Astyanax mexicanus: one gene and its partner. The protein of the gene in region 1 interacts with the protein of each later gene in a biochemical or structural test. Links are inferred from orthologs where the notes say so. Each region holds a gene or a part of one and is shown in the gene's direction. Other genes may lie near its edges. The genes, in order: arhgap1 and bnip2.

The links.
Region 2: the proteins of arhgap1 (region 1) and bnip2 form a complex in vitro, tested with the Homo sapiens proteins (2 studies listed by BioGRID). The link is inferred for Astyanax mexicanus from reciprocal best matches to the Homo sapiens genes ARHGAP1 and BNIP2.

Annotation. Positions count from the first base shown.
Region 1 is NC_064430.1:14,455,352-14,468,196, forward strand, and holds the start of arhgap1 (rho GTPase-activating protein 1), read left to right. Parts: upstream 1-7,195; 5' UTR 7,196-7,297; intron 7,298-12,140; 5' UTR 12,141-12,174; coding exon 12,175-12,310; intron 12,311-12,845. Other genes in the region: f2 (prothrombin), read left to right, coding at 917-1,228, 1,504-1,611, 2,420-2,543, 2,651-2,818, 3,338-3,511, 3,596-3,774, 4,321-4,391, 4,533-4,688. UniProt on the Homo sapiens protein: GTPase activator for the Rho, Rac and Cdc42 proteins, converting them to the putatively inactive GDP-bound state. Cdc42 seems to be the preferred substrate.
Region 2 is NC_064409.1:57,085,132-57,097,028, forward strand, and holds the start of bnip2 (BCL2/adenovirus E1B 19 kDa protein-interacting protein 2), read left to right. Parts: upstream 1-7,312; 5' UTR 7,313-8,025; coding exon 8,026-8,393; intron 8,394-11,897.

The DNA of each region.
Region 1 (12,845 bases):
TTGACTGGGTTCCAATTAAACCTTTAGATAATTTCTATTTCAAAGACTTTGGTGTAGAAGTTAAACAGTACTGTGTGTACAATTGATAAAATGTGAGACAACTACTGTAGATACACAGTTCTGGAAAACATTAAGAGACCACTTTAGTTTCTGAATCAGTTTATCTGATTTTGCTATTTATAGGTATATGTTTGTGTAAAATGAACATTGTTGTTTTATTCTAAAAACTATAGAAAACATTTCTCCTAAATTCCAAATAAAATATTGTCAATTTGTTTGAAGAAAATAAGAAAGGACTAAAATAACAAAAAAGATGCAGAACTTTCAGATCTCAAATAATGCAAAGAAAACAAGTTCACATTTATAAAGTTTTAAGAGTTCAGAAAAGTTTTCATGCATCTTGGCATGTTCTCCTCCACACTGCTTTAGGATAACTTTATGCCACTCCTGGTGCAAAAACTTAGCTTGTGATCATCCATCTTCCTCTTGATTTAATTAGGTAAATCAAAGAAACTCATAATTTTTAAGTGGTCTCTTATTTTTTTCTTATTTTTATTAGAGCAGGAAAACTTTTGGGGACATCCAGGTATAGATGTAGCTTAATTAGATAGAATGTAGCTTAATTTCTGTCACAGCTTGGAAAGAAAACATGTTGTAGGTTTTATGTAATTTGCACATTTTTATTGTATTTTTTATTTTGTTGACTATTATTATTTAGTTTTTGGCTTTAGTTTTAGTATTTTTTTATTTAGTATTAAACATATTTACATCTCCTGTAAATACACTTAAAAACCATTGAAAAGAACATTTCTGTCAGTTGGATTTGTTTCTGTGATTTTGTGCAATAAACCATAACTTTAGTCTATAAGTTCAACCAGTAGAAGTGGTATATTTCAGCTGTTCCCCTGTTCCGCAGGAGAGACCTTGCAGCCAGTTCCAACCGTCAAAGTGGGGACTATAGAGGAGCGCTATGCTAAGACCAAATGTATTGCTGGCAATGGAGAAACTTACACTGGAGATCTGTCTGTGACTCTGGGTGGCCACACCTGCCTGGAGTGGAACTTGCCTAAGGTGAAGGCTTTGAGTGTGGGGAAGGAGTTCAAACCAGATATACAACTAGTGAAGAACCACTGCAGGAACCCCGATGGAGATCTGGAGGGACCATGGTGCTATGTGAAGAGTGCTGCTGGAACCATCACTGTCGATTACTGTAACCTAGAGCTATGTGGTGAGCAATGGTACTGATAAAAGTGCTTTTATTACTGGTGATCACAACAAGAAGGTACACCAAATTAATGCTGTCCATTTTCTCAAATTAACCTCACACCCATTTTTTTATATTGCAGTGTGATGCAGATGTATAACCCTGGCTTGTGTCTTGCTATGATTATTTAAAAAATGCATATTACACTAAATACACTGCAAATGTCTACTAAAATATTAAATTAAAATATTAACATTTTTTTACTTCTCAAACAAGATGTCTTCTCTCTTGTCTTTAAGATGCTCCCTTGGTAGGGATGGTAGAACAGGACTCTGATCGGAAGAGGACCACTACAGAGAAAAGAACTGCTTTCTTTAGCCCTCGCAGCTTCGGCCAAGGAGAAGAAGGTAAAAATTTTAGCAATAGCAGGAGGTGTATTTATTCTCAGTTCACTATTTTTTAGAAGGGCCCACCCGGTATTTAAAAGTACTGGTCACTTTTCTGTCCATGTAAGTATAACCTGATATTAAGTTCATGACATTTGTTTCTGTTCCTTAAAATTTGCATGTCAACATACTAGATGCAAGGTTAAGGCCCTTTCCCATTTTTCCCTTGGCCGTGCCACTTAGTGTGTCCTTATTCTTGTTAGGCGGTAGAGCGAGTGTTAGGGCAACATCATCCTTCAAACTGAAAACTGAAAATCACTGACAGGTGAACACATGCATTTATCTGCAATTTAAGAGATACAGAACCAATATCTCAATAAAAAGAAGCATGTCCACACATAATAGTAATATTACAGGATTTATGCGGTTTGCTTGTGACGGCTAGGAACCTTTCTATGTTTGGGGTGGTTATGACTGAGACACCATTCTCCCTATTGCAAGTCATTGTGCAATCAACAGGATTTTGTTAAAATGTAATACTCTTCTAAAATAATAAATACATCTTCGAAAATGCTGCTGAAACTAATGAATTTTACAACATTAATAGCGGTATTTATATAGGTTTTGCAATAGATGTACTTGTTTTGCACAGCTGACATATTTTAAAAGATTTGAAACCAGCTTAAGCTTCGATTACTTTTGTTAAATAATTTCTCTGTTAATTATTTTCAGGGATCATCTCAGTTAGATCTGTTCATCATCTTTTTTTTAATGGCTAAAGTCTGGCTCTTCTTATATCATTTCATTTTGTCCTTGTGTCTGATTTTAGAGTGTGGAGTGCGCCCTCTATTTGAGAAAGTAAGTAAAGCAGATGGAACGGAGGTTGAACTGCTCAAATCATATTCTAAAAGAATTGTGGGAGGTGTTTCTGCTGAAGTAGGAAGTGCACCATGGTAATTACAGTTCATATCTATTTTTTTCTATATTTACCTATTTGGTAATCTCACAGTACATAATGATTTTATTGTAAGATGTGTTTGTAATGTGATTTGATCCACAGGCAGGTGATGTTGTTTAAGCGTAGCCCTCAGGAGCTTCTGTGTGGAGCCAGTTTGATCAGTAATGAGTGGATCCTCACTGCAGCTCACTGCATTCTTTACCCACCATGGAACAAGAACTTCACCATTGATGATATTCTTGTTCGCCTTGGAAAACACAATCGTGCTAAGTGAGTTCCTTCCTAATAAAATTGTAAAGCTATACACTGTATGCACAAAAATATTGGGACACCCACACATTACACCTACAGAAGCCTGTATCACATTCTATTCTAAATCAAAATAAATTAATATTGTTAGTCCCCCCCTGTTGCAATTCTAACAACAGGTTTGGAGCTGTGCAGTTACTGAGTCAGAAAAACAATGTGTAATTTTACATTTACACTTCAAAACACATCTATATTTCAATAATTCCACACACATTTGATCATGGAATATCTAGAAGGATATCAACTTATTACAGTATCAAGCTGGAATTCAATTTAGAGCCTTTCACACCCGCCCATTCTTTTAGAAAAGTTTATAAAGGCAGACTCCATTGATAGGTGCTTAATCGTATACATCTTTAGCAGTGTGACTAAATAAAACATCTGAATTCATTGATTAAGACGTGTGTCCCACTACTTTATCCCATGTAGTGAAGGTAAAGTAAGTCTGTACAGACCTTGATTGTTTTCTTTATAATTCAGGTACGAGAGAGGTACTGAGAAGATTGTGGCAATCGATGAGATCATTATTCATCCAAAATATAACTGGAAGGAGAATCTTAACAGGGACATCGCTCTGCTGCACATGAAGAAACCTGTCACCTTCACTAATGAAATCCACCCTATCTGCCTGCCCAGCAAAAGTGTCGCAAACTTGTAAGAAAACCTTTCTTTTGTAGTGTGAGCTCTATATTTCAAAATAGTACCTGCAAAAATACCAACTCTTTGTTCTGTATATAGATTGATGTCTGAGGGCTTCAAGGGTCGTGTGACAGGCTGGGGGAACCTGAAGGAGTCATGGACATCAAACCCACAGAATCTGCCGGCAGTGCTGCAGCAGATTCACCTGCCTATTGTGAACCAGGACACCTGTCGCAAGTCTACCTCAATCCGTGTCACTGACAACATGTTCTGTGCAGGTGAAGGAATGAAATCCTGTGTAATAGTGAACAAAAAGTACCACCTTCTTACTTTAACTTACTTCTGCTCACAAATTAAGAGTTCAAATCTCATTACATTCGTCCCAGAAGAAGCTGAAAATTTCTGCATTTCAGTAACAACATTATGCAGTTATTCACATCATTACAATTTTCAAATTTAACCTCAAAGAATCAGAACATTTCAATGATAAACATTACAATGACCGTTCAGTAGTTAACATCTCAAACTTAATATTCTTAGGTTCCTAATATTTTAAAACCATTATTAGAATTAATATTAGTCTTCTGTCATTGCTGAAGCATCACCAATCTTGTACTTGTGCATTATTGAAGGCATATTTTCTTATTCTGGATTTTTGAAATAAGCATTATGTTATTTCTTGAAACAAACTAAATTATCTTACAGAAAAATAAAAGACAAATTCACTAGCTACCATTACCTGAAACAAGGATATTTTAACTGTGTACAGAAGTGTGTAATTTAAATAGCATTAATTGTACTGTAATTGTGTGCTTTTCTTTTAGGTTACAGCCCAGAGGACACACAGAGAGGTGATGCATGCGAAGGAGACAGTGGTGGACCATTTGTAATGAAGGTAAGAGGATGATTATTGTTAATGCTATTCTTTTCACATTTACAGACTTTCACTGGGGACTTCTATATAAATCATTGTTTCTATATGAGTACATTAAGTTACTTTTGATTGAAATCCTACATACACTCTTACCATCTGCAGAATCCTGATGACAATCGCTGGTATCAGATTGGTATTGTGTCGTGGGGTGAGGGCTGCGATCGGGATGGTAAATACGGATTTTACACCCACCTGTTCCGCATGCGCCGCTGGATGAGGAAGGTCATTGAAAAATCAGATTCTGCAGATGATGACTGATGTCCTTATGAATATGCAAGAGCCAAATATGTCTCTTTTTGGGATTTGTCCAACTGAAATAAAAGTGCAAATAAAAGTTGATTAATCTGAAAGTGGTATGTTTTTTTCTTAATAAAAGTAATAATAATAATCCCATATTTGCCAAAATACAGAAAGCTAAAATATAGGGAACAGTTTTAAGTTTTAACATACTTGAACTGAGGGTTTAACTTTAAAACTTGGAGAAGTGAACTTAAGGGTTTGAAATTTCATGGGTATGTTTACATGCTGAGAGTTGATACTTCTCCTCAGTAAAATTTCCTGTTACTTTTCTACTGAAGTTTTGGGTTTTGTGTATCATATCATTGTTGTAATAGTTTATTCATACTTGTTTGTTTTTTTCTGTGAACATTTAACGTGATTAGTATAAGTCAAGTTAGATATCCTTACAGTATTACAGAGTTAGATATGTGCAGTGATGGTATAGTTACTTTGAAAAAGTAATCCGATTACTGATTAGTCCTTTAAAAAGTAACTTAGTTACTTTATGGATTACTTGATTTTAAAAGTAACTAAGTTACTTTACAAGTTACTTTATTAGTTACTTTAAGCAGCTGCACACACCACGTCCCGCCGCCTTAACATAAAAATTATAACCAGTTTTGCCAATACTCCCTTTATTCGAAAAAGCATTTTTAACAGCATCAATGTTTCTCTAGACATTTAAAGTTGAACTATTTCCTGAAAAAATAAGTTTTTTATATAAAAATAAAAGACCATTTATCTTGAATTAACTTAACATCAATATTTTTTTTATAAAAAATAAAATATGGTCTTTCTTGATTTCACTTAACATAAATACTTGTTTTTATAAAGAAATATAAAATATTGAAAGTCTTTCTTGACCTGACATATTTAACACTGTAAAACTGAACATTGAACCTGTTGTTCTCTGCAGGGCAGCAAGGAGTGGTATTATAAAACAGAACCGTGTATATGATCGAGCCCAGGGATCACATATATGCGGACTGCGGTCCGGATCCGGACCCAGACGTTGTTCAATGCGGACTCAAACCGATAAACTACTGAGAAGGATTTAATTTTGACAATGTTCATTTAAAGCGTCTGAACTTTTCTTGTCTTTACGGTATACACGCTCTGCGGCACGGGAAACTTGCAGACCAATCACGTGTAGTGTAAATCTTCAAACACTCTCCTATGCCAATCAGATCTGTGCAGACCGCTGCCCTGGCTAGTGAATTGGGACGCGGCCGGGAAAAAACGCCTTTATAAAGAGATAGGGAGCCCGAGAACTGGCGGAAAAACGAGAATGGGAGGAAACTAGACACGCCGAGCGCGAGAGAGAGAGACAGGGGAGAAAGCGAGATGCGTGTGATTGGGGGAGAGCGGAGGTGTGTGTGTGTGTGTGTGAGGTGGAGAGAGAGAGAGAGTAACGCACAGTGACTTGGATAAGTAACTTTAATCTGATTACTGCATTGGAAATAGTAACGCGTTAGATTACTCGTTACTGAAAAAAATGAGTCAGATTAGAGTACGCGTTATTAAGTAACGCGTTACTGACATCACTGGATATGTGTACAGTAGTAGCACATACATATGTTTTTAAAAACAGTAAAGGATTAAGCTGTCATTAATAAAATCCAAATAAAAAAAAATTGAATTTTCCCTGATTTCAAATTTATGCAAACTCAACACCCACCCATAATTTAATGTATGTAATAATAATCCCTTATTCGCTAAAATACAGAAGATTTAAATATAGTAAACAGTAATTTTTTAACATGTGCCTTGATATAACAATGTAGTTGCAATATACTGTGTATGTACAGTCCTTAAAAATTATAAAGGCCATTTAAAAGTTCTGAGTTTCTTTGATTTTACCAAATTGAAAACCTCTGGAATATAATCAAGAGGAAGATGAATGATCAAAATCCATCAAACCAAGCTGAACTTCTTGATTATTATTTTTTTTACACCAGGAGTAGCATAAAGTTGTCCAAAGGCAGTGTGTAAGACTGGTGAAGGAGAACATGCCAAGGTGCATTAAAACTGTGATTAAAAACAGGATTATTCCACCAAATATTGATTCCTGTACTCTTTAAACTTTATGAATATGAACTTGTTTTCTTTACATTATTTGAGGTCTGAAAGCTCTGCTTTTTTGTTATTTCAGCCATTTCTCATTTTCTGCAAATAAATGCTCTAAATGACTAAAAAACAATGTTCATTTTACTCAAACATATTCCTATTAATAGCAAAATCAGAGAAACTTATTCAGAAACTGAAGTGGTCTCTTTTTTTTTCAGAGCTGTATATCCAAAAATATCCAGATGCGTCTAGCTAGCTAGTTAACTTAAAGCTTTAGTATGAAATTTTGACCTTTATAAAAAATATCACTTTTCTGCCTTTCAGAAGTACAGCTGATTAACTATAAATATTTGAAATATGTATTTATTAGTGGTGTTTTGGACCTGTATCTCAGGAGAAAGCCGCAGTAACTGGAGCTTTTATGGTGAAATGTGAGGTGACAGGCTGCAGCCGGAAGCCCTGCTTGAATTAGCTTGATTGTCAGAGTGGAGAAATATTCAGTCAGCGGCTCCGAACAGCAGGTAAAGCTTTTCGCTTTCATTTCTTCATTAGGAGCGGGTTTCTGTGTGCACGGGTTCCTGTTTCAGTATACGGTGTTATTGTTCGTGTAGGGGAGTTAAGATAGTGTCGAATTTAACAGGACTGAAATGTGCTTTTTAACCAGGACACCAAAACAAGCTGCTGGCTAACCCTGTTAACCTGCTAGCGCTGGCTTTAGCTTTAGTTAGCTTAGCTTTTCGGGCTCGTACTGCTGAGAGACTCATATACAGCGCTATGCTGTTGATAGAGATAGCCCGTCTTTACTGCAGTGAGCAGTGTGTGGACGTGGGTGTTAAACAGACTCGCTGAAATTTTGACAGACAGCGTCCGCTAGCTAGCTAACTACTGTATATACGTGACACAGACGATTTTTTCGGCCATAGCGTTTAACCTAGCTAATCTAGTTAAATAGCTAACCGTTAACAAACACGACTGGGACGCCTTGTTTTTAAAGCTGTGTTACCAAGTTATCTAGCGTTAATGTTAGCGTTAACTCTGTGGACGAGGCTCAGTTATAGACAAATTAACCCGGGGTTAGACAGCTAACCTAACCTAGCTGCTGGTCTACTTGAACTTCATGGATTTTCAGCGACTGACTTCAGATGGTCCCACTTGTAACTAGTTAGGTTAGCTAGCTAAAGGATAAAGTTTATTTGGGTACTGGGTAGGTTTATGCCTGTTAACTAGCTAACGTTACATAGTTAAGTTGGATAGTTAACGTTAGCTAGCTAAGCTAATCAGGAAAACAACAACAACACTATCAAGCTAGTGTTAACTAACTAATCAACTAGCTACATGTTTAGCTAAATTGGCTAGCTAAAAAATATGTTTATAATTAATAAAGTAAAGAACTGGAGAGTGCAGTTGCTGCAGTGTCTGGGTTATGGTAACCCTTTTTATAAATCGTATTGGCGTTGGTAATATAACCTACTAACTAAAGGTAACTAACTGCCTGTTATTGACTCAGTTTCCCTAGCTACAGAAGGACAAAAACGTCTTAAATATCTGTTGTTTGTTAAATAAAAAATCGTGTACAATGACACTGCCTAATTTGTGGATCAACAAGTAAGTTAGCTAGTTAGTAAGTGACAGTAATTTCAGACACTGAACATCGGATAAAGCAGGCCACGGCTAAAATTAAGTTAGTTTTCTAGCTAAAGGTTTAGCTAATAATGTAAGTTAGTTATGTTTATATTCTGTTTGGGGCTAAATTTAAAACCAGAATATTAGGTGTAAAACATGTATTTTTTAAATGTAGCTACTATAGTGAAGATGAATTGAGTTTTCATCCCATATTTGTAGTTTTTAAATTCTGCCTTTTGCTAACAGAAGTAATGTTCTCTTGATTTTTATATTTTACACATTGTAACAAAATTCTGATGATAGAATTCTAACTCTGAATCCTAACTCTGAGGTCCAGAAATAAAAAGCTATATAAAAAAAAAATTAAAACCCATTTCTTCTTTTCATAATTGACACCCAATTTTCTGCTTTTTAACTTAACCTCAAACAGTCAGGAATTTGAAATGGGGTAAAAAAAAAATACATTATTTTACATACTAAACTTTATATTCTGAGGTATTATTTAAAGTATTATTATAATAATATATTTTTCAAAGTCTTTTATCATTTCTGAAGCATCAAAATAACAAGAAGTACAGTGTTTAGCCTGGCTGCTAATCTGTCTATAACTATAACCATTAGCTTTTTTGCTATTTGCTTACTTTTAAAGTGTACATGAATTTTGAAGTCAGCTTTCTACAATTATGTGACCTTACGTGTACCTGTGGTTAATGACCAAGCAGTGTTTTCTGATAGCTGCCTTATCAAAGTAAACCTATCAGATATTTGCCGTCCTGCTTGTAAAACCTTCCTGTGTTATTTTGTTGCCTCCTTTGATAGAAAAAGGGTGGCAGTAGTTTTTTTTTTTCTTCACAGCTCTCGGTTTTCTTCTCACTGTCAAATCACATGATGTTCCTGAGAGCTTCAGAACACACACACACATACATACACACACAATACTCCTGACCACCTAAAAAGTCCTTACTGGGCGTTTTCATTCACTGATAGCTGGATGACTCCTAGATGAAAGGGACAGAGATGTGAAACTGGGGCAACAGGGAACACAAGGCTGTTTTTACAGTTCTCAAGTGTTAACACTTAATTTAGAAACAACACAGCACTTGTGGGTCCCATTTCTCTAAAGTAGATCAGAAGTGTCTGTCGAGCATGCTGTGGGGCTGAACTGCATCAAGGACTGAGGCTGATAAAACAGACCTGAAAGAATAGCAGTATTTGTGCTTTAAAATTAGTTGTGAAATGAAAGAGAGCAGAGCATGGGATGTGCCAAAGGGTGGCAAGTGGCCCAAAAATATTGTGAGAGAAAAAAGATTTACATTGTTACATTTACATATCAACTATCGCTATATTCGTATATTTCCAGGTTGAACTGGAATTGCCTTAATATGATATGGATGTGGTGCATGAACTAATACATATACGATATGTATAAGACTTGTGGGCATGCGGCACAAATGTGAGCAGTCAGGTCAGATTATATGCATCTTTTTCTTAGTGCACATGCATTTGGGCCTGTTTCCAGCTATCAGCCAGAACCAGTGTTGAGAAATTCCAGAATCTGTATTCTGACCGCCTTTTACATGCATGAGGTATTAACACCACAGATTATACTTGTGATTTATGACATATATTTAATTGACAGCAAACAAAAAAAACAGAGTTACAGGGTCAATTTGGATAAACATTTTAGTGTGCCATGCTTACTGTTTAATGGACAGGTTTGTTCACATTGGACAGATACATGTTACTCACATTTATGAATGTGAATTGTGAAGATCCAATCTGAGCAAAAACAAATAGAAATTGAAAATATAGCTTACCACAATTGCCATACACTATTGCAATTTTGCCTCTTTCTATTTTATGATATAAAGAATCTCAGTATGTTTAATGAAACCAGTAGGATCTAACCAATAATGTAATGCTTGTGATAAGCGTTCACCATTCTCGCCTTGTTTATAACTGCCTGTGCAGAATAGTGCATGAGAAGAAACACACCCTTCCGTCCCTTCACGCTTCCCAAGTGCAGCCTGCTGTACCTACTAAACCTAATGGCCATTTATTTTTAGTTGCAAATGTTCCCCCTTTGTCTGGTGTTTCGCCACAGAAAGTTGGTGTTGAAACTTTTCTTTTATTAGACCAAGGAAGCAGTCATGCACAAAGGGTACCCAAACAACTGTAGACAAACAGTACTTCCTGTGCTCAGATCTTAATGTTGACATAATGCTAGTGGGTGAAGCACATCAGATAAAATGTATGGTGCACCTTATTGCAGCATTGTAGTCAGAGTTTGGGTTGACTTATATGACCAGAGAATTAGTGTGATCAGGATGTTCACATCACATTTTCTCAATCACAACTCCCCAACTCATTACTCAACTCCAACTATACCAGTATGTTCCAAAGCACAATGATGGAGAACTCTGTACCTACCGCTCAAGTTCACACCTGGCATTAGGCATTGTGCCAACAGGTTCATGTTTGTCTGCTCTAGTTTGACCATTTCTATTGGCACTTTTTTTTATACAGAGACTAGGCAAGATTTTTGTGCCACTTAAAGTAGCCGAATGCGTTTATTTGGGTGTCCCTAAACATTTGGACAAAATTACATTACAACATTACAACAGAATGTGATTTTACTGCTCATCTTAGATTGTTAATCGAATGGCTGTATTAGCATTTTAGACATTGAAACCCATGGTTGCCACTGGTACCATTGAAAAGAACTCTAAATATGATGGCGCATGTTAAGGATAAGAATTACTGCATAATTTTCTGCATTTAAAGCTGTTCACCATACGTATTATAACTCTGCAATCTGAGAGTAGCCGGTTATAGACCAGCACCCTCTTAATCTGAAGATACTGCAGTCGTGCTCAGGCAGTCTGTGGTGCCAGTTGGCAATGGCAAGATGGTAGATGGACTGCGTTTAAGTGGCACTGATGTGTGAAGCTGCTGTTTCTGCTCAGCTGGGCAGCCACTGAGCCACAATTCTGCTCCCTCCTCTGCATGCCCGCGATATATAAAGAAAAGAAATGTCACAGCAGATCAGTATCTGAATCCAGCAAGCGCTCGTGCTTTCAGCCTTACGGCCAGAGGCATGCACATACTCACGCTCCTCAGATTTAAAGGGGCCTTAACTCATTTTACAGCAAGACATTTGCAGTGAGTTGATTGATTACACTGTTGTTTGTGATGATCAAAAGCTAATACCATTCTATACTTAAAATAGACAAACAGGGACTGTTCTTAACCTTATATCGGTGTTTTTTTATGCAGTAGACCTGCTACTTGCATTCTTACCTTGTTAGCACTTATCACTTTGTGTGGTTAGATGTGTGATTTGGGGCGAGAATAAGCAAAAAAAGCAGCAGCAGCAGCAGTTTGTGGTGAATGATGTTGAGCACAGCAGTGGTTAGACTGAGAGAAACAGCGAGGTGACCTCAAGCCAGCAAAGACATTATTAGCTTTTGGCTCAGAGAAAGCTTAGAATAAACACATTTCAGTAATGTGTGTCTGAAATGCCAGCTGTGTTTGTCTGCCTCTGCTTCTTCAGATATTGAAAGTACATATTTTTTGTGGCTAGGACAGTGTGTGTTCGTGTTTGTGTGAATGATGGCTTGACAGCTGTCAAATGGAACAGACAGATGGGTCAGTTTGTATGGGCATGTACATTTTATAAACGAATGTGTATGTATATAATACAGTAAGCCTGAATGTACATTTCTTTGTCTCTTGTGCCAGGTCCTTGTGTGTGGTGTTTTTGTAGAGGACCATCATGTCCTCGGATTTGCTGGTGGACCTGCATGATGATCTGGGTGGAGATGACTCTCCCAGTGCTGCCCTGGACCAGCTCAAGCTGGTGCAGGACAAACAGTGGCCACCTGATGACCCAGTCAGCTTCAGCAAGTCTGGTGAGTGTTATTGAGATATTGGCTTTTGCGCTCCAGAAAAGTTAAGAGATTTCAAACCTTATCATTCGGGGCCACTCCTCATCCTGCCTGGTGATGGCAATACATTTTTTTCTATTGATTTTAAAGGTTATTATGCTAAAAGCAGTGACCCAAATTGTTAGGTTCGATATTTGGGAGAAATGTTGTTATTGCATATAAGCCTTCTCATAAACGTTTGCAGTTTCCTTTTGGATCAACAATATGTTTTAGGTATTTTTATTTAGTGTATGATGATAAAGAATGTCTTGAGAGTTGACTCTCTTGACTGCAACCTAAAAAGTAGCAATAGCTATGCTGTAGTGTAGATAGACAAAGCCCCAATAATTGGAGTGCTCATTAACTCATCCTCATCTCTGGTCAAAAATAGGTGTGACTGTAAATAAGCTGATAACAAAGTGGAGGTTGTCATGATTTTAGAAGTGAAAATTTGCTAATTATCCTAAATGCTAAAGAACAAAAAAAAAGCATAAACGCTCATTGACAACACTAGGGGCCA
Region 2 (11,897 bases), on another chromosome or scaffold:
TGATTACAGTAAAAGAATAGCACAATTAAAGGGCATTTAGCTTAGTCTATTGCCCAAATACATGGAAAGAGGTATGACATGACATTGCCATTGTTTTCTAGCAAATGCATTTAGTTTAACTGTGTTAGTAAAGGAAATTAGTATTAGTAGTGTACTAATTACTTCAAGTGTTGATTGGAAAAACTCCAGTCTTGTGTCCAGTGTCAAACCTCTGAAAAACCCTGATTTTGATGCTGGAGACCATGAGTAAAGTGGATTTGTCAAGGAAACATCTGCAGTAACCCCGCAGCTCCCTAAAGCTCAGATGACTTGCGTATAAGTACTAATCAGAAATGCACCAGCAGCCTTTAGGGTTCAGAAACTAGACTCAACATGAAAACAAGCCTGGCTGGTAAAGGCACTGCTGGAGCCAGTGGCAGTACATGTACAGTACAAAACATGCTCTAAATCTGAGAATTTTGTTTAATGATATAGAACTACCAACATAAAAAACATATATATAAATGTTACGACAGTTAGTTGGAGTTACAGCAATTTCAAATTTGGATCGTGGATGTGACAATAATAGCCAGATGCCACCAGACATAATCATTGCTACCCACTGCCCTGTCCACTGTGGGTAGTAATGCCTTCAATTTCTCATTCTCATTACACTTGAGACACATCAAGAAATGTTAGATGTCTGCACATCTTCAGAGATTGAGTGTCCTATCCATCTGGCACCCACTATCAGGCCGCATAAAAACATAGAAAAATTACATGGACTTGCCATGAGCACAACGGCCAGTGTTTAGCCTTACTCAGAAGATAGACATCATAAGTGTTATCCTGAGGAAATAAGAATTAGAATGTATTATTAAAGCTGTACTTATAAACAAATACTTTCTCATCTCTGTCTTTGCTGTTTTAAAATATTTGGAATCTGGCAGCTGTTACTGATATTGTTTATAGATTTTCTGAGAAACACAACATTAGAAGAAACAAACCATTTCAATCCAAGCCCACCGCCCCCCAAATCAATGCATAGAACATAGCATAAAGGTGTACATAACATGTTAAAATACACAGAATTTTATGATGAATGAATGAATAAGAATTCTGGACAATGTCTTGAAATAGAATATATATATATATATATATATATATATATATATATATATATATATATATATATATATATATATATATATATATATATATATATATATACATATATATATTATTTTTTGTGTGAAATTGAACTATACCCTATGCTTTACTTTTCTGAGTTCATTTAGTTTCCTAATGTAATGTCCTCGTCTGGCATAAAAAAATATATATAATCTTTCCCATTTGCCGATGCCAACGTCCTGCCCGGGACTTGTAGACCAGCGGAGGCATTAAATCCTGACTGGCCTATGGCATCCATCCAAACGGCTCTGGACAAAAAGCTAATATTCCTCTGCAATGTGCCAGGCCACGCATGCTAAGTTGCAGACCCATCGAACCCCTCTAACGACTGCCATATGGAAAACAAATTGCCGTGGCCGGGATCAGACACCAGCCTATGCGTGGCATGAATTCTGAGGGCCTTGTGGCAAAACTGTGTCCAGTGATTGCTTGTTTGATTCCACCCAAAGAAGTGTATCTGTGTGCATGCATGCATATGTGTGTGTGTGTGTGTGTGTGTGTGTGTGTAGTGGGGGGAGGGCGATTTCCTTACGAAACCCACTATTATTTATCATGCTGCTTTAAATGTTTTGCTCATTTGTTTCCATTAAATATTTCATCTTCCCTTAAATATTCATTTAACGTCTCCTTTTAAATTTTTTACCAGGTTCTTTTTCTCTTTCTCTTGCTCCATGCCTTCCTTTTAGGGCTTCGCGATCATAAATAATTATTCATGTGCACCCAGAAACAGATTGCATAAAACATGCACATGGATTCCTTTTTGTCTTTTCTCATTAAGAGATATACTTCAAGTAGCCTAAATACTTCCCACTGCTCCACTTGTGGAAATTGGATATTCTATTCTGCCATACTGGTGCACAAATGGGTTATAGCCTCTTGTTATTCAAGAAAAAGAAAGAAAAAGAGAGATTTCTATGAGAAAGAAAAGAGAACAAAACGGAGCACCCTCCCTTCAAAATTGTGTGTCACCTTCACTCTAGGTACATTTGTACATTTGTGTGTTTCACACAAGCATTTCAGACAGTTTTTGTTTGGTATTTTTTTTTCTTCAAAACTGGATGATGCATTCTTAAAGCTGTTATTGCAATTTCATCTCTTAGTAGCAGTTACTTGTAAACATTTAGGCAATTATCTTTTGAAAACCAAACTACTGGCTTTCTTGCCCTGAGTGCTTCTTTCATGCCAGTTGAAGCTGGGAAATATGTTTGCTTAATAGCTTCCTTGTTATGTCCTCATAAATTAAGCACTCACTGCATCTCGCTCTGCTCCAGATGAGAAGAACATCAAACATTTTGGTGCAGAACTCATGCCCCGACTCTGTGAAAAGAAAGTTTGCTTTTGAAAAATTTAGAACACTAACTGAAAGAGAGAGAGAAATAGAGAGAGAGAGAGGCTCTGATACTTACTTCCATTGTCAAGTGAATCAAATCCCACGGAACATCTGTTTTCTTTCTGTCTCTCAATCTCTCCACCGCACATCTATACACACACACTCCAGTGCTCCAAATGTTTGACAAGAGGCAGCTCGGTACAAGGTAGCATCTGTAAAGAACACACATACACATATTTTACTGCACAGTAGTCTGGAAATACAATAATTGTATTTGCTGTATGTAGGTCTAAGCAGTTAAAGGTCAGTTCATTAAATAAAGGAAGTACACTGTATGTACTAGAGAGTTGGACACTGTTAGCTTAGGTGGGGTCTCGCTGGTTTCCCTATTGATCTACAAATATCACAGAGCCTCTGTTATCTACTATCACTACCACTGTTTGCTGTATCTTCTTCAAAGCACATCAGTGCTTCAGTAAGTAAATTTGCTTTAGTTAATGAGAAAGGCAAGGCCAACAATCCAACGCACCGGATAACTGAATAACTGTGTCAGAACTTGGAAAGACACATTTGTATGCAACCCCCCGGACTTCAAAGTCTACACTGGCCTCTATTTGTGAATTATACCAATATGAAGCCAAGGCAAACACCAGCACACTGAGAGATGAAAAGGTATTGTAAACTTTCAATTTGATCGGATTATCTCTTAGTTAGCGAGGACGCTTGATCAGACAGTGCAAATAGCAGCGTGTTAATTAGAGATTATAAAGAGTGATCCTAAGCACACAGTTGAGGTATCAGGGTGTTATAGAACAACGTTTGGTTTAGCCAAAAAAAAATCACAAAAAAGATGCACCCATGCCCAGATCAAAATATTCTTTCTCTAAAGTAGAGTTGAACTATGCATTAGTAAAAGCACTACCAGGGCATGATGAGGCAGTAAATGCAGGAAGATTAAAAAATACAGACGCAAAGCCATAAGAGCTCCGTGCACTTTTCTCTTTGTTCATCTGTCAAGAAATTACAGAACGCTTGCTGTAGTCCTCGCTCATTTGCATACCCTAATTGCTAGTTCTCATCATGCAGCATGAACGAAGCTCATTTGATAATAAGACAAGAATAATAAATCATAGATTTCATCACACACACACATAAATTAAGGGATGATAGAATATTTGCAGTAGTGTGCACCTGTTTTTTTGTGTTGCATCTTCTTTTTTAAAGGCTGTTTTGTTGCATTGAAGTACTTTTTTAAGTACTTTAATACATGTTTTTACATTTACATTATTTATACATCATTTTAAAAATGTACAATATCTTGCATGTTCCCTTTATTTCTGGTTTAATGCAAATTAACTGTTAATGAAATTACAAATTAAAGCAGATACAATGCTGACCTTTAATGAATTAGTAAAAAGAAAATGGAAGCTTGGATATACTCTAGTCTGTTTCTACACCCATTTTCATCTAATCCTTTGTTATGTTTGGATCGCAAGAGCATGCTTGGTTTATGCCTTGAAGGTTGTTGTCCTCACCTAATTATCTCACTGTTGGAGGCCACCGGAGTGCTGCGTGACAGAAGAGTGGAGAGTGGAGAAAACTCTGCAGTGATATGAGAATCACTGTAGATTTGATATACATAAATTAAACTGAACAGAATTGTCTGTTGAGTAATTATATTTATGACTATATATATATGACAATGTGATATATGTGTTCCTAATCAAGTAATTAATTTAAAAATTACTAAATTAAAAATAATCAATTTTTTTAAACAAATGATTTAATTTAATTCCATCTAAACAATTTCTGGTAAATTTGTTAGCAGGTCTGGATTTTATTTCTGAATTGAAATTGATGCAACACCTTAAATACTACATAGTAGTGATAAGAATTTCCTTTTACTTCATTTACTTTATTCCTATAATCATTTCATTTATTTATTTACTATAAAATGTTTTTTTATTAATTTATTTTGTGGTTTTTTTTTACCATGATATCTATCCTACTGATACTGAGCCAACTATAATCACTGATGATCGAGTATAAACTACAGTATGTGAAACAGTCAGAACAGACACTCTGATTTATTTAGTCAAATGCTGCCATCTAGTGGGGAGTACGTGATGACACAGACCCTCAATGGGAATTTTTAGCAAAAGGTAACTGTGTTGTAACACTGCCACACACTGGTAAACTTTACAGTTTAAACAGACTCGTATTGATTGATATCTAACGCTGGGCAACATAAATAAAATCTATTTAATTTTAGTTTAAAAACTTAATTTAAATGTAATAGATCAAGATGGCACACTATGCATTTCTGATTTTATTTTTCAGTAATAATGTGTATGGTTATGATAAAGAGAGCACCAAATACTCTGGTTAAATGGATTTAAAAGCAGTGAAGTGAGTAAAACGTTGAATAAAAGCTTTCTGGGCTCAATGTGCTTTACAGTACTTTCAAATGTGCAGACACTGTCTCTATACCAAATTACACTATTGTAAAACATTGTGTATCCTGTATGAATGCTTCCTAAACTATGGAGATGCTATATTTCTGGCATATCATCCACATCTAACCTGATGAACAGATAAAGACTATGCATAGGAACTTATACCAAGATTACATTCTAGCAACCAGTAAAGCCAAGAGCTGTGATTTAAATGCACAAGCAATTTAGAGATCAAGAACTGTCTAATGAAACCACTATAATAATACAGTGGCATCAAGTTATCCAAAAGCAGTGTGTAAGACTGGTGGAGGAGAACATGCAAAGATGCATGACAACTGTGATTAAAAACCAGGGTTATTCCACCAAATATTCTTTTCTGAACTCATAAAACTACATGAATATGAACTTGTTTTCTTTGTATTATTCGAGGTCTGAAAGCTCTGTGTCTTTTTGTTATTTCAGCCATTTCTCATTTTCTGCAAATAAATGCTCTAAATGACAATATTTTTATTTGAAATTTGGGAGAAATGTTGTCTGTAGTTTATAGAATAAAATAACCGTGTTCATTTTATTAAAAAATATACCTATAAATATCAAAATCAGAGAAACTGATTCAGAAACTGAAGTGGTCTCAGAGCTGTATATTTATGGCATGGTATAGATTAAGTGATTTTGTTGATAACGGGAGAAAGCAAAGCAAATTGGATAGCTAACAACGTTTAAAGAAGATATGCCCAGTTTAGCAAACAACAATGAAACAAAAAGTTAAAACTAAATGGTTATGTCTCAGTTTTTCTGTATACAAGTATACAAACATAAAATGGAAAAGCACCCAAATAGAGAACCGACAAGCACACAAGCACAACACCAAACATCTTCCAGACCTTTGAAAGTGCTAGCTATTTACTGAGTTAGGCGGCTCCTAAAATGTTATCAGACAACATTGGCTTGCTATAACATCCCAGAGCAAATATTAGGAATCCCTGTAAACTGCAAAACAGAGGGGAAATTTTTGGTTCTGCTATGAAATGTGAATACGCACCACAGGAAGCTGCACGCTATCGGATATTAGCATAATACTAGTTAGTGCTAAAGGGCTCTAAACGCTGAAAAATTTCGCAGGGAACAGCAGTCTAAACGTGATCATTTTTCCCTTTTTAATTCTATTCGTCAAATGATTAGTTGAATTCTTCAATGTTTCTGTGCCACCTTAAAAGCTGCCTCTATTTTCACACAATTACACCAACACTGGCTTATTAGAAGTGTTCCTTCCACCTTAAACAGTAAATATATAAATACCAAATATATGTTGGTTTGTTTATTTTGAAGGCTACACTCACCTGTTAAAATGTGTAAGGAGTGGAGTAGTGATATATACACTGAATTTACACATACAGAAATTAAACTTATTTGAATCCAACCCCTTATGAGGAGTTAACAGTAAAAAATGTTAAAAGATTCCAAAAAGATTCAACCTAAATTTGAATCTTTTTGAAAACTGATTCAAACTAGTTTTCTACAGATTCGAATCTTTTTGAAAACTGATTCAAAGTACTTTTCTACAAATTCGAAACTTTTTGAAAAAAAAAACTGATTCAAATCTTTTTGAAAACTGATTCAAACTGTTTTTCTAAAGATTCGAATCAGTTTTCAAAAATGATTCGAATCTTTAGAAAAGTAGTCTTTTCTAAAGATTTCTAAAGATTTTCTGAAGATTCGAAAGTACTTTTCAACAGATTCTAATCTTTTTGAAAACTGATTCAAACTGTTTTTCTACAGATTCAAATCTTTTTGAAAACTGATTCGGACTACTTTTCTAAAGATTCTAATCTTTTTGAAAATCTGATTCAAACTGTTTTTCTACAGATTCAAATCTTTTTGAAAACTGATTCGGACTACTTTTCTAAAGATTCGAATCATTTTTGAAAACTGATTTAAACTACTTTTCTGAAGATTCGAATCTTTCTAAGAACTGATTAAAACGATTTTAAGAAAATTCGAATCGTCAAAATAACGCAAAATAGTATGTGGGTGCTTTTCCATATTTTTAAATATATGCTAGATTCAAAATTTGTCTAATAATAGTAATAGTAACAGTTATTTGAATCACCTGCATAAAATATTTGAATGGTTTTAAGTGGGTAAAGAAACATATCGCTTTTCAATAATTATTTGAATCCATACCAGATCCCTGCAAATGAGTGTTTTATTACTTAAATATCAATACTTAAATATATTAAGAGTGACTTATTAGCAGCAAGTAACAAATCAAATTTAAAAAGTATCATACTTTCCATGTGCTGTAGGACTTTTGTTTTGAAGTGCGGCAGTGGGGAGTTGGTGAAAACACTGCGCTGTATAGTTGAGTTCGCGTTATACCGGAGAGTCCCTGAAACTGCGGAGCTGCTGCGGTGGACGGTCAGGAAATGATGTTCCTGACAGACTTTTAGAGAGGTTTCAGAGTCAGACAGCGGTTAACTGGGTACCATAACTGTGTAGACGGAGAGCGGGTGTGTGAAATGAGGTGTTGTGGGTCTCGGTGAGCGGGGTTTTGAGTGTGTATCGCTGCTCTGTTGCTGTCAGTCAGCGCCGGGCTGGGCTGTGCTGTGGATCGGCGATAGGAAGGAAGGAAGGAGGGGAAGAAGGGAGCCTGCGCACTGCGGGGCCACGGAGCGGACTGGAAGAGACACTTTTCGGGAAGTTTGTTTGGAGAGTTGTTTAGTTCTTGAACTATGCTATTGTTACACAAATTGGTTGCCAAGTAGTTTGTATTTAGCTAACTAAGTTTACACAGTTAAAGTCGGCTGGCTCGATGTTTGGCAGGAGTAGCGTTAGGTTAGGTGGGTGAAGATTTGATTATTTGTACGGTGCGAGTTGTTTCGCTGACTTTGGCTAGCCAGCTAGTTAGCTAGCGTTAGCTACTCTAGCTCCCCTAGCTGTCTGTGTCTGTTGCTGGGCTTCAGTTGTCACACTGGGCACGCACTGCTTGGTGAAGGAGGTTTTTATTATTGTTGTTCAGTAGGTTAGCTAGTTAGTTAATTGCGTTTTTAACCTGACTGTCCACCCCCTATGGCCACAGATGTGACTGAGGGTGAAGGAGGCTTAAAACAAAGTGGTAACCTTACAGCCGCTGTGATTATGAACAAAAGCAGCTCCGAGTCAGACACACCCAGGACACTGGAAACGCTGGAAAACAAGCCGACAGGTCTCCACTCGTCACCGTCTGAACCGGGAAACGGTGCGAGTAAGGCCGCCGTGGTGTCTGTGGAGAACGGGGACAGAGCAGCCCAAAACAGGCCCACAAAAACAGGAGACCCGCTACAGGAAACTGCAGCTCCGCACGATGGAGGAAACCAGGAGAGGACACGGACCCAGCAGCCCTCGAGTCCTGTTAAACTACCACAGGCACAGAGCTCACCCGTGGAGCACAATGGAAGGTAACTTATAGCGCTATTAGCCTCCGGGGTTGAAGTTTAAAAGCTAACCCGACTACCTTTTCAGAGCTGAGGCGAGCAAGTGTCCCGTCAACTACAGATTCGACTTCAGTTTCTGAATCAGTTTTACTGATTTTGCTATTTATAGGTATATGTTTGAGTAAAATGAACATTGTTGTTTTTTTTTCTATAAACTACAAACAACATTTCTCCCAAATTCCAAAAAATAGCCATTTAGAGCATTTTTTTGCAGTAAAAGAGAAATGTTGATTTCTGAACTGTTAAAACTTTATGAATATGAACATATGCTGCATCTTTTTAATTATTTGTGAAAAGGATGCAGCATATATTCATATTCATAAAGATTTAAGAGTTCAGAAATCAATATTTGGTGGAATAACCCTGGGCTTTTAATCACAGTTTTCATGCATCTTGGCATGTCCTCCTCCACCAGTTTTACACACTGCTTTTGGAACTTTATGCCACTTCTGGTGCAAAAAATCAAGCAGTTCATCTTGATTTGATGACTTGTGATCATCCATCTTCCTCTTGATTATATTCCAGAGTGTTTCAATTTGGTAAAATCAAAAGTGGTCTCTTATTTTTTTTTTTTTCAGAGGTAAACAAGATAAAAAGAAACACATTCAGAGAGCATAACTAGATAGGTTAGATATACAAGGGTTTACAATTTGTACTGTTTGCATAAACATAGATTTAAAAACTCATTTTTTACAAGTAAAACTGTTTACATTTTGTATAATGTAACTTTTGCAAATAGAAACTCTAGATTTCAGAAATCTATATGTTTCTACTTATTGCAAACTGTAATTCCAAATATCAAATACCATGTAAATAGGATATGTGAAGTGAGTAATTAGAATAATTTTATTCTATAATTGTAACCTTATTAGATATTTAATAGCTGATATGTGAAATGAGAATTTTCAAGTGAAAATTACACACAAATCTTTAATTTTAGTTTTTACTTTAAAAATTGAGGTAGAACTGCATTCGCTGGTGTCATTTTAGGTTAAGACAGCTTTCAGTGGAAAATAGGAAGTCAGCTATTCAGTGCAACCCCCACTCCCCACCCCCCTAGCTCTCAAAGGGTAAACAACTTGATCCCAGACAAATGTGCAGACATTGACAAGTACACTGTAAAACTGTCAGTTGCTTTGTTGTCTTCTTGAACATATGAAAATTAATGTGTTTAAAGTCTGATGTCCTTCTCTCTAAAGATAGTGCTGTATGCAGACCATTTACTCAAATCTGCACAGTTAAGCTACATGATGCTGTTTTAATACTGTGTATCAAAAGCCGTAGTGTCTCTAAAAAAAACATGATATCAAACTCCCTTTTTCCAAGGGGTCTTGGACTGTTTAATTTTATTGACTGTGCTTACTCAGCACTCTGGGCTCTTGTCGGTTGCGAAGGTTAGTGTGAATGATTACAAACGTCCCCCTTGAAAAGCAAGAGTAACACTACACAGATGGCATAGCAATTAGCTGTGCACGACAGTCAACTAGTGTTTGTGTGGTCCCCCACACTCACATCTGAGTGACTTCCTTTGAAATGGCTAAATACCTTAGATGGCTTCATGCCTTATTTTCTTTGTTTCATGCACTGCTGCATTTAAACACGAGTCTGGGAGTTGATTGAAAAGTTACTTATTTTTTTTTAATTATATTTCATGATTAAGGAACCATACATACTGTTGCATTATCTTCTCTGTGTGTGTATACATGTTAATGTTATCATACTGATATATTCATTAATAACATGGTTCTAATAGTAAAGACTTCTTGCTCACAGTATCAGTGCTATAAAATCATATGTGGCAGGGAGAATGAAAGGTTTTTAACATTTATCATTGCTATGTAAAGACAGGAAATGGCTTGCACATATGTAATTCTTCTATATATATATTTAGCTCTGAAGTCTAAGAACATGTTTACCTCTTGGTCACTTCATTTCTCCTGAGAATCAGAAATCGGGTTTGTATCTGTATATGGCTAAGCCACATAAAAGTGTAAATGCATCCAAGAGACATTTGAAACAACATGAAACAAATACGATCACTTGAACACTTCTGAGGAGCTTTTAAGCCACATGTTATAGACACATGTCTCTAAGACTCATTCAACAATCCATACTTCTTCCTATGCAGTGCATTTCTGAGTTGATTAGTCTGATTGATTGTTTGCCTGTAAGAATTGATTGCTGAAGCTGTTGCTTTCCCCTAACTTTGAAGAATGGAGTATGGCATTGTAATGGCATTGGAAAATTGCAGTTTCCCAGTTAGGAAACAATGTTTAGCGCTGCACAGGAAGCGCTAAATGTATGAACAACCATTTGCCCTGTAATAAGCATATGGGTTGTATATTCCATTCCACACAGCAGTTTGATTTCAGTCCAGCTACCAGAGATGCATTTGACCACTAAGTGTAAATGCATCTGGTTAAATTTTTATCTGGATCCACTCCAGATACTTTTTGCATGAAGTGACCTGGTGTAAACAGGGTCTGAGTGAACCTGAAATTTACTTTGATGCTGTTCTCATCTGCTCACTTCATGCGTCTTTGGATCTCAGGATTATATCTGAATAAGGCCAATCCACTTAAAAATGCAAGTGTGAACACACTTAATATTAATTAAAGATTCACTCAAACCATTCATCAACCAACACACCTCTCAGGGCAACTGTAACGTCAGTAGTAATGTAGCGAGATTGCATGTTTTGTGTCACACACTGATCAGATTTTTGTCTGATCAACTCAAGACACATTTGACGATAAAGCATGTGGCTAAAATATGGATTTAATTCTGACAGTGTAGCATCAACAGGATCTTTGTTCACATTTAAATCCTGATTATTTGTGCAACTAATCTTTTTCTCAAGTGTGTTAATTGCCTTGACTTGGCTCTGCTGGAAAGGAAAATAGGAATGATATCATTCAATTTATTTGCCAGCCTATTTTTGCTCCAGACATCAGTGTATTGTTGTTTACTTTAGTCTTCCTTCGTTGTTCAGAAACAGATTTGTGAGTCTTTTAAACAACATGGTTCAGACAAAAAGTCCTACAAATAGTCGACTGCAACTGTGCTTTGATTTAAACCCGAAAGAACTACTAATCTGTTGATATGTTGATCCCTGCTTTAGAAAAATGACCCAGAGTGTTTTTTTGTTTGTTTTTAAGACTAAATGCATTTCAAGCTGTATGAAAAGATTTCTTGTGACATTTCTTTTTTTCAGTCACAGTATAGGGGGGATGTATTGGTATATTTTATTAACTTGTAAGCAAATTTTGTTGTTCATAAAGTACTTTGAGACTTTGTTTGCAGAAATATTTGGGATTACTACATCAAAGAGGCTCATACAAATTCCTGTTTGTGCTAGTACACTTGCCTGAATTTAGTTAAGCAATTTTTATATTCTATAAGCTAAGCCCTAATTCTCTGCTTGTTAGACTCTTAAATGCAGAAGCCATATTAGGTAATAGAGCAGCC